4 linked regions of the Saccharomyces cerevisiae S288C genome follow. The main gene of each other region encodes a partner of the protein of the gene in region 3 in a complex. Each region holds a gene or a part of one and is shown on either strand. Other genes may lie near its edges. The genes, in order: ASK1, DAD4, DAM1 and SPC19.

The links.
Region 1: DAM1 (region 3) and ASK1 share a complex: the UniProt entries of both Saccharomyces cerevisiae proteins name them as parts of the DASH complex.
Region 2: DAM1 (region 3) and DAD4 share a complex: the UniProt entries of both Saccharomyces cerevisiae proteins name them as parts of the DASH complex.
Region 4: DAM1 (region 3) and SPC19 share a complex: the UniProt entries of both Saccharomyces cerevisiae proteins name them as parts of the DASH complex.

The regions. Positions count from the first base shown.
Region 1 is NC_001143.9:339,091-342,232, forward strand, and holds ASK1 (Ask1p), read right to left. Parts: upstream 1,457-3,142; coding exon 578-1,456; downstream 1-577. Other genes in the region: MDM35 (Mdm35p), read right to left, coding at 92-352; SFK1 (Sfk1p), read left to right, coding at 2,222-3,142. UniProt on the Saccharomyces cerevisiae protein: Component of the DASH complex that connects microtubules with kinetochores and couples microtubule depolymerisation to chromosome movement; it is involved in retrieving kinetochores to the spindle poles before their re-orientation on the spindle in early mitosis and allows microtubule depolymerization to pull chromosomes apart and resist detachment during anaphase.
Region 2 is NC_001136.10:1,107,715-1,110,278, reverse strand, and holds DAD4 (Dad4p), read left to right. Parts: upstream 1-1,780; coding exon 1,781-1,999; downstream 2,000-2,564. Other genes in the region: asparaginase ASP1, read right to left, coding at 432-1,577; auxilin-like protein SWA2, read left to right, coding at 2,178-2,564. UniProt on the Saccharomyces cerevisiae protein: Component of the DASH complex that connects microtubules with kinetochores and couples microtubule depolymerisation to chromosome movement; it is involved in retrieving kinetochores to the spindle poles before their re-orientation on the spindle in early mitosis and allows microtubule depolymerization to pull chromosomes apart and resist detachment during anaphase.
Region 3 is NC_001139.9:717,023-720,424, forward strand, and holds DAM1 (Dam1p), read left to right. Parts: upstream 1-1,870; coding exon 1,871-2,902; downstream 2,903-3,402. Other genes in the region: YGR111W (uncharacterized protein), read left to right, coding at 1-8; cytochrome oxidase assembly protein SHY1, read left to right, coding at 336-1,505; chromatin-remodeling histone chaperone SPT6, read left to right, coding at 3,387-3,402. UniProt on the Saccharomyces cerevisiae protein: Component of the DASH complex that connects microtubules with kinetochores and couples microtubule depolymerisation to chromosome movement; it is involved in retrieving kinetochores to the spindle poles before their re-orientation on the spindle in early mitosis and allows microtubule depolymerization to pull chromosomes apart and resist detachment during anaphase.
Region 4 is NC_001136.10:854,492-857,314, forward strand, and holds SPC19 (Spc19p), read left to right. Parts: upstream 1-1,825; coding exon 1,826-2,323; downstream 2,324-2,823. Other genes in the region: VPS64 (Vps64p), read right to left, coding at 1-1,602; RAV2 (Rav2p), read right to left, coding at 2,407-2,823. UniProt on the Saccharomyces cerevisiae protein: Component of the DASH complex that connects microtubules with kinetochores and couples microtubule depolymerisation to chromosome movement; it is involved in retrieving kinetochores to the spindle poles before their re-orientation on the spindle in early mitosis and allows microtubule depolymerization to pull chromosomes apart and resist detachment during anaphase.

The sequences.
Region 1 (3,142 bases), on a different chromosome or scaffold from region 3:
TATACGGATCACTATACATTATTATAAGTCGATATTGCAGTATTAGTATTTACATGTTGAATAATGCACATTCTGTGCTAAAATATATACTTCATTTGTCAACTTCTTTTAGTTTGCCGCCATTTTCAAACGGCGCCTCCTCCCTAGCTTCGTCTAGAGCAGGCTTAATACCTTGTTTGACGAGAGCTGCGTTGACACATGTAGTATAAGCGTACCATTGTTTTGAGCACTCGTTCTCAACGGATTTTCCCTTCAGGAATTTTTCGCTATACCATTCATTAAAACAACTATCGTATTTCGTCTTCAGGTCAGTGCATTCAGGCGCAAAACTAGCTGACATTATATTCCCCATATAAAACTGGTATTATTGTTATTGTAATTCAAGTTAAAACACAAACAGATGTTTTCTAATGACCTCTCCCGGCATATATCTGGCGCACTTAGAATAAATTTCTACATGCAAATACTCTGAATATTCTGAATGTGGCTCTCCCTATATCGAAGAAAAAATATAGCGGGCCCATTACCCTGCGTTCTGATATTCATCACTAGTAAAAATTGTATGTACTTATTTATTCTATCTATTCGTAGAAAAATGAATGATGGTCCCAGGCTTTGGTACTTCTTTCGTACTCTCTTCTTCATCGGGCCCTTCGTTGTTATCATCCGCTTGTCCCTTCGGGTGGTGGTGCCCCTGCTTCAGAGGCGAGCTCTCTATATTATTGCTGTTCTCATCGTCGTTATCGCCGTCGTTATTAATATGTTCTTCATGAGCCAGTTGCTTCCGCATTTTATTGGGCACAATCGGAGACGGTACCATGCTGGAACTAGACCCGTACTGCTGCTGCAAAAGTAGCGAAATCTTTCTTTTGCGGCTTTGTCTCTGTATTGTACTTTCATCTTGCTCATCATCAGCTCCACCATGACCCTCGCCTGTAAGGTCTGTTTGCTCCCTTGAAGGCACCGCCTCTGAACCAGTATCTTCGTCGCTAGAGTCCGGAAGTTTCAATATCTGTCCCGTGGATGTTATATTCGCTGTGTGGAAATCATCTATACTGTCGTTATTAAACATAGAATGGACATCCCGGTTGACATGTACAGCTGAATCTGCCTCGTTAGGCCCATTGTCTGTCTGGGACTGCCTACTCGCCTCTTCAGCGGATGTAGGAAATATACCAACATTATTGCTCACAAGGCTTTTGACTGGAGCGTTTCCCACTGGTGCAGCTGCATTTGCCTGCAAATTCACCAGCCCAGTCTCTTGAAACATAGTCCCCAGCCATTCGGTGCTATCCATGATCCGCTCACATATTTCTGAATATGTAGCCACGTGTGGGATGATGTCCTGGGTGATCTTATGAAAGCAGAAACTCAAGTTAGAGTCTATCTTCTGCAGGTTCACTGTAATTTCTTGATCAAGTTTTTCCAATGTTTCCTCTTTGCTTGCAGAATCCATTTTTTGTGTCAACAATCCCTTATGTTGCTCTTTCCATACGTTGATCAACCTGGCTCTATTCCCACCCCAAACTGTAGATATCTATTTTGTTGATGCCTCAGCTCACCAAAACAAACCAAAAAAACGGAAAAAAAAAACGGAAAAGAACGGAAACAAACGGAAAAGAACGGAAAAGAAAACAGGAAAAACTCGCTGTTCTGTTACCCGCGCGGCACTACCGCATTTAATCGGAGTAGCTACTAATCAAGCAAGGGCCTCCGTTCCTCTATGACGCACCGGACATATCGCATTTCCACTATAATAGTGCAAGTAGGACGGGATAAGGCCCAAGATTATCAATGAAGACTAACACAACGGTCTTGCCAGCCATATCCAACTCTAAACATCTTCCACGGCTGTTCAAAAACGAAGATCTCTTACCCCTCTGCGGCTTAAGGGCTCTGTTCAATTGAAGGATCCGCGGCAGTAAAGTAAATGGATGAAAAAAAAAAACTGGAAAAATAGCAACTTTTTTCAGCCTGGAAGATTTGTCATCTAAGCGAAGGAGAATGAAACCGGAATTTTCACTCCTTCTTAGGGGCATTCAGTTTATAAATATAGTTATTCCCTGAAGTTGAGATTTACTGATTTAACATCTGGACAACTAAAAACCTAAATAATAAGACACAATTTTTTGCGGGATTTTTTTTCCTTTAGATACTTTTAACATTCATAGTAAAAAGTTCTGCTACATAGTAAAAACACATAGAAGGTACAAGCAATAGCATGATTCAATTTAAAAGTCCAGGTAACTGGCTGTTCATAGTACCCTGGATTGCCTTCATTCCATGGTATGGTATGCTGATAGCCATGCTTATTTGCTGGGCCAGTCAAGGCCATCCCATATATTGGTTCATGCACTCGGAGCAATTCCCTGTGTACATTTCAGATATAGGTGCCACTAATTTAAGGCCACTGTTTATATCGTGCGCCGGCTGGCAGGGTCTAGGCTATGTAATCACTGTTGCCCTTGAGTTTTTTCAAAGATCCGGCTATCTGCCTTTCCAACTGAAAAAAAAAGACCCTTCTATCTCTGATTCCACATCTTATGCTGAGAAATTGCACAGCGGTAAATACTTAATGCCTCCATATTACACAAAGGATGAACGGAACCTGATTTTCGCAGCTTTTGTTCTCGGCAGCATTGGTGAACTAGCCCTTTTATTCAGTTCCATCTTCTCAACCGCCCTGTACCATCGCGTTCACATTGCTATGGTCTCTGTTTTCGTCGTCTTCATGTTCCTATCCACTTGCTGCTTGATTGCAGAGTATTTCCTCATGGGAAGGCACTATGCCTCAGTCCACCCCCTAGCCAGCCCTCATTTCAATCCTCAATCATCTGAAAAAAGCTTTAACCAAGATTATAACACTGTGGATGAGCTGCCTTGGTATAAATGGAAAGGCCATGTATGGAATAAATTTACCATCAGTGCAACTCTAAAAGTTATATGGTTAACTCTCGCAGTTGTATGGGCCATTTGTTTTGGTGCTATCAATGATAGATCTAAGAGTGCTTGTTTCGAATGGTTGCTAGCATTTTGGTTTGGTATCATATTTATGATTCTTTCCGCCGACTTTTATTTAGGTGGAAGATACAGACAATCCCGCTATTTCAACCACGTGGAATCATTTTCGGGTTATTACAAG
Region 2 (2,564 bases), on a different chromosome or scaffold from region 3:
ACCAGCGGGCGATGATAATCAAATATTTAAAAATGATATAATGATAAAACTTGAATTATTTTTATAGGAAAAGTGGAACCAAAAGATTTTCTAATGCACTGATATCATGAGCAGTTAATGAAAAATTATTAATATTATTTTTTTTATATTTTTATTCAAAAATAACATTCAAAATTTAATTTTAATAAACTCATTTAAAAAAAACCTCTAAAAACATGAAGATAGAACTATAATAACGGCTTCAGTATTCAAGACAAAGCCATGTGCAGGTGAAACGATAGAAAAGTGACATAGCCGAGACAATCTAAATGAAGAATTCCTGTACTCATCTCAGACTAGCATTAACAGGGACTTGCATAATTATATCTCTATCTCTGTGTCTATGTATATATATATATATATCGACACAAATGCAAAAAATTACAAAATTTTCACCCACCATAGACGCCAGTGAAAACATGTTTAATTTCTTCCAACGTGTAGTTACCTGCCAAACATAATTGTAACAAGATTCTGCTCTTTTCAGGGCTTAGATAACCAGATGCGATGAGATTATCCTCCTTTGAACCTTTCTTTGGTACGTTGGCAATAGGCACCATACCATCCATCGATCTCTTGGAATATACGATCGGCAAACTCAATTTCATGCAGGTTTCATTGACCTCCTCCGGCAATGAACCAGCACCCATGGTAGCAAGAACAATACCATCATACTTATCTGCCACTAAGTTGACTATAGCTGGCGGAAAGGCTTGGTGAGCATATAAAATGCAAACCTCTGGTAATTTAAAATGCTTACCGTCCACTCTCAGTTTGAATTTGTGGCAACCTTGCGGTTTCACAGGAGGATAATAGTAGTGAATTTCATTGTTGACAAAATTTCCTAAATAGCCTTGTCTAACATTAAAAGAATCCAAACTATTTGCATTCGTCTTAGTAATGTAGTAACCAGAGGAAATTTGGTCATTCAAGGAAACAAGAACACCTCTTCCTCTAGATTTTGGATTTGAAGCAATGCAAATTGCTTGGTAAAGGTTCATAGGGCCATCAGCAGAAACGCTGGTTGAAGGACGCATCGAACCAACAAAAACAATAGGAACGTCGCCAGCATCAATAGTACTTTCAATAAAGAATGCAGTTTCAGATAGCGTATCAGTCCCATGGGTAATAACTATACCGTCAAAAGCCTGCAACGATTCTGAGACGCCCTTATAAATTTTATAAAGAATATCCTCGTTTATGTCTTTAGAATCCACGTTGCATAGTTGCTCATATTCAATGTCACAGACCTTGGATATATCTGGAATGGCATCCAATAGATCTTGGATGGTCAGGTCAACATGATAGCCGGCAGTTTGAGAGGAGTCTATAGCTTTCGATGCAATAGTACCACCGGTACCCAAGATTTTGATTCTTGGTAAGCTACGTTGTTGGCAAGCGATGCCGCTGCCATTCACAGCGGCATTTTGAGACTTTAGAATCTCTGGAATAGTCTCTGGACAGTTGCTTTGCACAACAAACTGAGAATTTTCAACATCTGGGCAGATGGTAGTGATTTCAACTGAATCGCTTTTCATGATACGCTTCCAAAAGTGCGATGAGAGTGCTGTTATCCTCCACTGTCTTCAAACACATTTCTTCAACAAAGTCATCGTCATCATCTTTTTTTTTTTTTTTTCATCGAGTATTTTTTCACACGAACGGCACAAGTAGCCTTCAACTGTAATAAACAAAAGCAGATAGGGAGGAAAAGAAGTGAGTTTAGGAAAGAAAGCATAACATGGAGAACCCTCATGAACAAGTGCAGGCTAACATACTTTCGCGAATAATTGGTAATGTCAAAAGGCTCAATGAGAGCGTGGCAATTCTTAACCAGGAGCTTGTGACCATTAATAATCGGAACAAAAATCTAGAAATCATGGGCGCAATTTGTGATAACTACCATAGTAGCGTCCAATTCAACCTGGAAGCGACCAATAACAAGAAGCCACCTCTTTAATTCACCAATTTTCTATATACGCATACTCATATACACATATATATATGCTATACCGTTTCTAATATATTCATTTAAGATCACTGTTTCCTGCGAAAAGGAGAAAAAAATAACAGCACATCGCTTAACCTATTCCTGTGCTTCTGGAAAGGACGCAGCCTGCAAGAAACAGTCAACATCAATGTCAGATCCATTTGCACATTTACTGACTTCTTTGAAGAATAAGGACTCTGCATCTGCATCCAAGGAAACAACTCCTCAGAGCAGCAATTCGCCTTCCATTACTGGTTCCGCTGTTGCAGATGTTGCAAGGACGGATAAAAGCCCCAATGATAGTCTGCATTCAATTTCAGCTCCTCCGCTGATACCGTCACCGAAGGTAGATTTTTCTGCACCTCCTTTGGTCCCAACTAATAGCACCACTAAATCTAATACTGCCAACAACACACCTCCCTCGGCTCTTGCCAATACCGATGACGACTTCAATCAACTATTTGGTATGGGCACAGTAACTACAACGGATACGATCCAAAAACCGGATGAGGATTACTATGGAAGCAAGGAAGAC
Region 3 (3,402 bases):
GGTTTTAAGTCAAATATTGTGTTGCTTATACAGGAAAAGTCAAGGTTTCAAACTACATATCATTATTTACTGTTAAAATTCACATATACTAATACATACGGTAATAGATTGAACCTCTTCTGTGCTCTTCTCTAAAAGTACTTCTGAACGTATGTGTCATTTTTCCTTTCAGTTTTCTTTGTAGCTCGCATTGATGTAGCCGAGTATATTTAAGGGATTCTTATGCAATGATGAAATATTTTTCACCTATAACGCCGACTACTGAAAACAGAGGGCCATCTTAACCGTTTTGCATTCAGTAACCCATACTCAGGATTTAATAAAAGAGGAAAGCAATGTCTCTACTAGGCGCCAGGTCCACTTACCGTTGGTTTTCAATCGCTGCATCAATTCCGACTAAGAATGCTATTGGCAAATCCACGTACCTCTTAGCTTCAAGAAATCAACAGTACCGAGGCATCATAACGTCAACTGTAGACTGGAAACCAATCAAGACAGGTAAGAGCCCAAATGATGATTCTCGAAGAGAAAGATCCTTTGGCAAGAAAATTGTTCTGGGTCTGATGTTCGCGATGCCAATAATATCCTTCTATTTGGGAACTTGGCAAGTAAGGAGATTGAAGTGGAAAACCAAGCTGATTGCGGCATGCGAAACTAAACTTACTTATGAACCAATACCACTTCCTAAGTCATTTACACCTGACATGTGCGAGGATTGGGAATACCGTAAAGTTATACTTACCGGACACTTCCTTCACAATGAAGAGATGTTTGTTGGTCCAAGAAAGAAAAATGGAGAAAAGGGTTATTTTCTGTTTACACCGTTCATTAGAGATGACACCGGTGAGAAAGTTCTGATAGAAAGAGGGTGGATAAGTGAAGAAAAAGTTGCTCCTGACTCAAGAAATTTACACCATTTGTCGTTGCCTCAAGAAGAACACTTGAAAGTGGTTTGCTTAGTAAGACCTCCAAAGAAAAGAGGCTCGCTACAATGGGCGAAAAAGGATCCAAATTCTAGATTGTGGCAGGTGCCAGACATATATGACATGGCAAGATCATCAGGGTGCACGCCCATTCAATTTCAAGCCTTGTATGACATGAAGGACCATCCAATAATCGAGGAACACACAAGAAACGAGGCTTCACAAAACAATTCCACCTCTAGCCTGTGGAAGTTCTGGAAACGAGAACCTACGACTGCTGTAAACGGAACGCAAGCTGTTGATAATAATACATCGAAGCCTCGTTCTAGGCAGGAAATGCCGACAGACCAAACAATTGAATTCGATGAACGACAGTTTATCAAAGCAGGTGTTCCCATAGGCCGGAAGCCCACTATTGATTTAAAGAATAACCATCTACAATATTTGGTAACGTGGTATGGCCTTTCGTTTTTGAGCACAATCTTCCTCATTGTGGCTCTTAGGAAGGCGAAAAGAGGGGGCGTTGTGTCCCAAGACCAACTAATGAAAGAGAAACTGAAGCATTCAAGGAAATATATGTAAACGGCAAACTCCTCTGCCCATACTATCGAACTCTATCCAAGAAGCGCGTAATTTCACGAGCACTGCCTAAACGGTTTTCCACATTAGTTTTGCAACTACAATGATTCGGATATGGCACATTTACATAATTTAAACTTGTACATAACTAACACCTTTTTATCCATATACCTTATGTGCCGCTCAAGATATGAACATTGCGCGTTGCCCGGACAATATCGATAAATAATAGCCAAAACAAACATGTTTTATCGACGCATGAATCCTTTGGCGTTAAACTTGTCCAATTGCACTGAAACTTGGAGCGTATAAGCTCAGCAATTGCACCAAAACAATATCAGAAAAGGCTTGTATTGCCACTTTCACCTATGAGCGAAGATAAAGCTAAATTAGGGACCACAAGGTCTGCCACGGAATATCGTTTATCCATTGGTAGCGCTCCGACTTCAAGAAGGTCGTCTATGGGTGAATCCTCATCCCTGATGAAATTTGCTGATCAAGAGGGATTAACGAGTTCCGTTGGCGAATATAACGAGAATACCATACAACAGCTTCTGTTGCCTAAAATAAGAGAACTGAGCGATTCAATCATTACTTTAGATTCCAATTTCACGCGCTTAAATTTTATCCACGAGAGTTTAGCTGATCTTAATGAATCCCTAGGTTCGTTGTTGTACGGTATTATGAGCAATTCATGGTGCGTAGAATTCTCACAGGCGCCTCATGATATTCAAGACGATTTGATCGCTATTAAACAATTGAAATCGTTGGAAGATGAGAAAAATAACTTAGTAATGGAACTCTCCAATATGGAACGCGGGATTAAAAGAAAAAAAGACGAACAAGGTGAAAATGATTTGGCCAAGGCATCTCAGAACAAACAGTTTAACCAGCCGCTATTTCCCTCCTCACAAGTAAGAAAATACAGGTCATATGACAACAGAGACAAGAGGAAGCCCTCCAAGATAGGCAACAACTTACAAGTAGAGAATGAGGAGGACTATGAAGACGATACTAGTAGTGAAGCTTCTTTTGTTCTAAATCCAACAAATATCGGTATGTCCAAATCATCTCAAGGTCACGTGACTAAAACCACGCGTTTGAATAATAATACCAACAGTAAACTGAGAAGAAAGTCCATCTTACATACAATCAGAAATAGCATTGCTTCCGGCGCTGATTTACCCATCGAAAACGACAATGTTGTTAATTTGGGAGATCTGCATCCAAATAATCGAATATCACTCGGAAGTGGTGCTGCAAGAGTGGTCAATGGGCCCGTTACGAAGAACAGAAATTCAATGTTCTCAGGACGTGCTGAAAGGAAACCCACAGAAAGCAGACATTCTGTTGCAAAGAAAACTGAAAAAAAAATAAATACAAGGCCCCCCTTCAGATGACTACGCCCAACCCAACCAAAGAATTATCCTCCTCACAAAATATATCGCTAGCATGCGTGAGTTATGGATAAGAAGAATATTTGATGAGCTGACTGATTCTTTATAGCAATAGGGAGGAAGGCAGTACACATATCAGCAGTGCATGGGCACAACCCGCATTACAACGAAACATGATATATCTATATAAAAGAAGATACGGACAGGCGGTCGAGGCTATTACTGTGCCACTATGCGAGTCATGAATGATTTTTAAATTAGTTAGTACCCCTTTATATAACGTCTTCAATAAAAGTGCGGGAAAATTCGGGTAATATTTTCTATAACTGTCATTTTTTTTTCGTTATGTATGGCAAACCAAATTGACAAGAAACTGGACAACGGTTAAAGCAAAAGGAGGAAGAAAGATATTGATTTGTGCTTTGAAGAATAACCCAAGCGAACAGGTCATTAATTGCCTAGAATCTTTACATAGAATTTGCCTTTTATGGAAGAGACGGGAG
Region 4 (2,823 bases), on a different chromosome or scaffold from region 3:
ATTGCTTTGTGTTAAAACTAAATTTTTTCCCCTCTCTTCTTCTATTTGAAGGTTCAGCTCTCTTAATTCACTTTCGAGCTCCTGTAGCTTTTCATGGTTTTGTTTTTCCTTCAAGCTACATGCAGATTTTACTTTATTATTTTGTTGTTTGATTTCTTTTAATTGATCTTCCGATTCTTTGAGTAGCGCATCATTATTTTCTGATAGAGTTTTTTGTAAAGCCGTGCTCAGTTTCAGTAAATGCTTTTCATTCATATCAATCATGTGCTTATTGATGAAATCAAGGTTTATCGTATAGTTTTGCATAAAGTTTTGCATGGAATGTAATTTTTCCAGCTCTTGTTTTTCTAAGGACAGCTCAGTAGTCAAAGTTTTTATCATATTTATCAAATTTATGCTTGTACCTGCTGAATTGTTGATAAAAATTCCACTGAGAACCTCAGTTTCTGGACCTAAAATATCATCATCTAATTCTGAGTTATTAATATCTCCAAACATAGCTGCCTCAAAGGCTGCCCTTTGAGCCGTTGTTGCAGATGTTACACCAGCTTCGGTATAATTTTCCTTTAAATGAGATCGTATTGGAATGTGTTGATTATGATGACCTCTGTCTATCTTTATTCCGTTTATATTAGTGGAGTTCCCATTATTCTTATTAGTATGATCTTGTTTTTTCATCACCAAATTTGTGGGATCAGATACAGTGTTCATTAAGGGAATTACTGAAATCTCTTCCACATACGCACTGATTTTTCTATGTTCAAACTTTGAGTCAATATCAGTTCCCAAATCCACAGTATCACCAACTTTTAATTCTACATCATTTTGGCGTATTTTAACCCCATTAACAAATGTCCCATTGCTGGACTTTAGATCGCGAATATATATCTTTCCTGATGTAGGATCACAACTGAGACAAGCGTGATTTCTGGAAAGAACTCTTGAGTCAAAATTTCCGTTATCTGGTCTAACTTGTTGCGAAAATAAATCTCTTTTCGATCCTGAATTATTCTTGTTTACGCTATTGGTAACTGGTCGACCTAATTTAAGTCCGTCAGGTTTAAATGGTACAACAAGAAACTTGGTCTCAAAAGTTGCATTTAAGGATTTGAGTATAATAATATGTGTATGCTTCTTACGGGGTGATCCAGTTCTAAATAATGTCTCAGTTGAACCATTTTGGAATTTCGATAATTCGTCCAGTGCCGGTGGAGATACGGCTTCTACAGGAATTGTTACTTGTCCAGCCGGTGTTGGGTCTATTGAATTGTCATTTTGATCCTGACTTTGATTTTCAAATGGAGAACGGATTTTGTTGGCTAATATTGGGGATAATTGTTGCTGTTGTGAAACTTGATGGACGGAAGGTGGAGATGAAGCGGTAGGCAACAAATCTAAGCCTGGTGGTATGGTATACTGATCTATATCGACATTTGAACGGGATCCACTGCTTCTCGAGTTTGATCTAGCTCTTCCCATGGGCCTCTTAGGCGGTGACGTTTCTGGCGTCTTTGTCATTCCCTGCGAATTCGATTGATCCCTAACATAGGGAGAATGTTGCAGTTGCGGAGGGGGCCGTCTTCTTTTTTCCAGTTCTACCATGCCAAGAATTTACAGTTGTCTTCCTTCCTTCTAATTTCCAGTTGGTGAGACTGGTGACTATCCGTGGGGTCCGGATTGCGATTTACTTTCATTATGTATTTATTATTGGCGATTATAAAGTTTGTTTTCACAGGGCGTAGTAGTTAGCAACAATGAAAATGAATAATAAACAGATCACAGACGCATATATCTGTGTACGAATTGAAGGATAGGCAAAATAACCATGACAGATGCTTTGGAACAGAGCGTCCTTGCGTTGGAGGGAACAGTTTCAGTATTGAAGGATTCTGTGGAGTCTTTAAAATGTGCAAATGAGCCAAGCACGAACCTTGCATCGACAATGTTGCAAACCAAAAGGGTTTTCCGTTTAGTTCCCGAATATGATGTTGAAAGATCAAAATTAGATTTGATTGAAGAGGTAGAACCGCTGGTTAGGACTCTGGGCGATAAGTTACGTAAATCTATGGGTAGAATGCAAAGGGAACTCGATACTTTGCAGCAAACTTATGAATTAAACGATTTAAGGCTAAAGAAGAACATTAGTATGGATGACGATGATGCTCTGAATAGTCCAGACATGGGTCAAGAATACGAAGGCAGAGACGCGGACGACGTGGTTATGATGGCATCTTCTACTAATGAGGAATTGGAAGAATTGAAGAAACTAAAGGAAAAGAAGAAGCAACTGGAGAATAAGTTGGAAATACTCAAACAGAAATAGTTAGAAGTTTATTTTTTAAAGCATCCATTTATCTCTTTATCCAGTTTGTATTATAAATTATTGTTAATGTTATCGCTAGTAGATTACTTATATGTACTTAACTGTTTGCTAGCTACCAAATTTGCTTGATGGTTCGCCATCGAAGCTTTGAGACTGTTCAATTTGGCGCTTATACTGATCAAAGTTGGATCACTTGTAGATACTATTAACTTTTCACATTCCATGACTACCCTATTATCGAAAGTAACGCCCCTTCTTAATAATTCCTGAGCTTCTGGAAGTGTTATAGCTTCACTTTGAAAAGAAGAAATTATGTGGTTAAGTAATGTGGAATCCTGGACTTGTACACCGTTTTCTGAGAGGATCTTAGATAAAGTTTTGTTTCTTTCATTTGTCACTTGATTTCTTATTTGGTCGCAAAATGACCTGCCAGTTTTACTATCAATCTCGCACCAAGGTTTTTTAGTCACCTTAATTAGATTTCGTAGTTCTATGCAAAG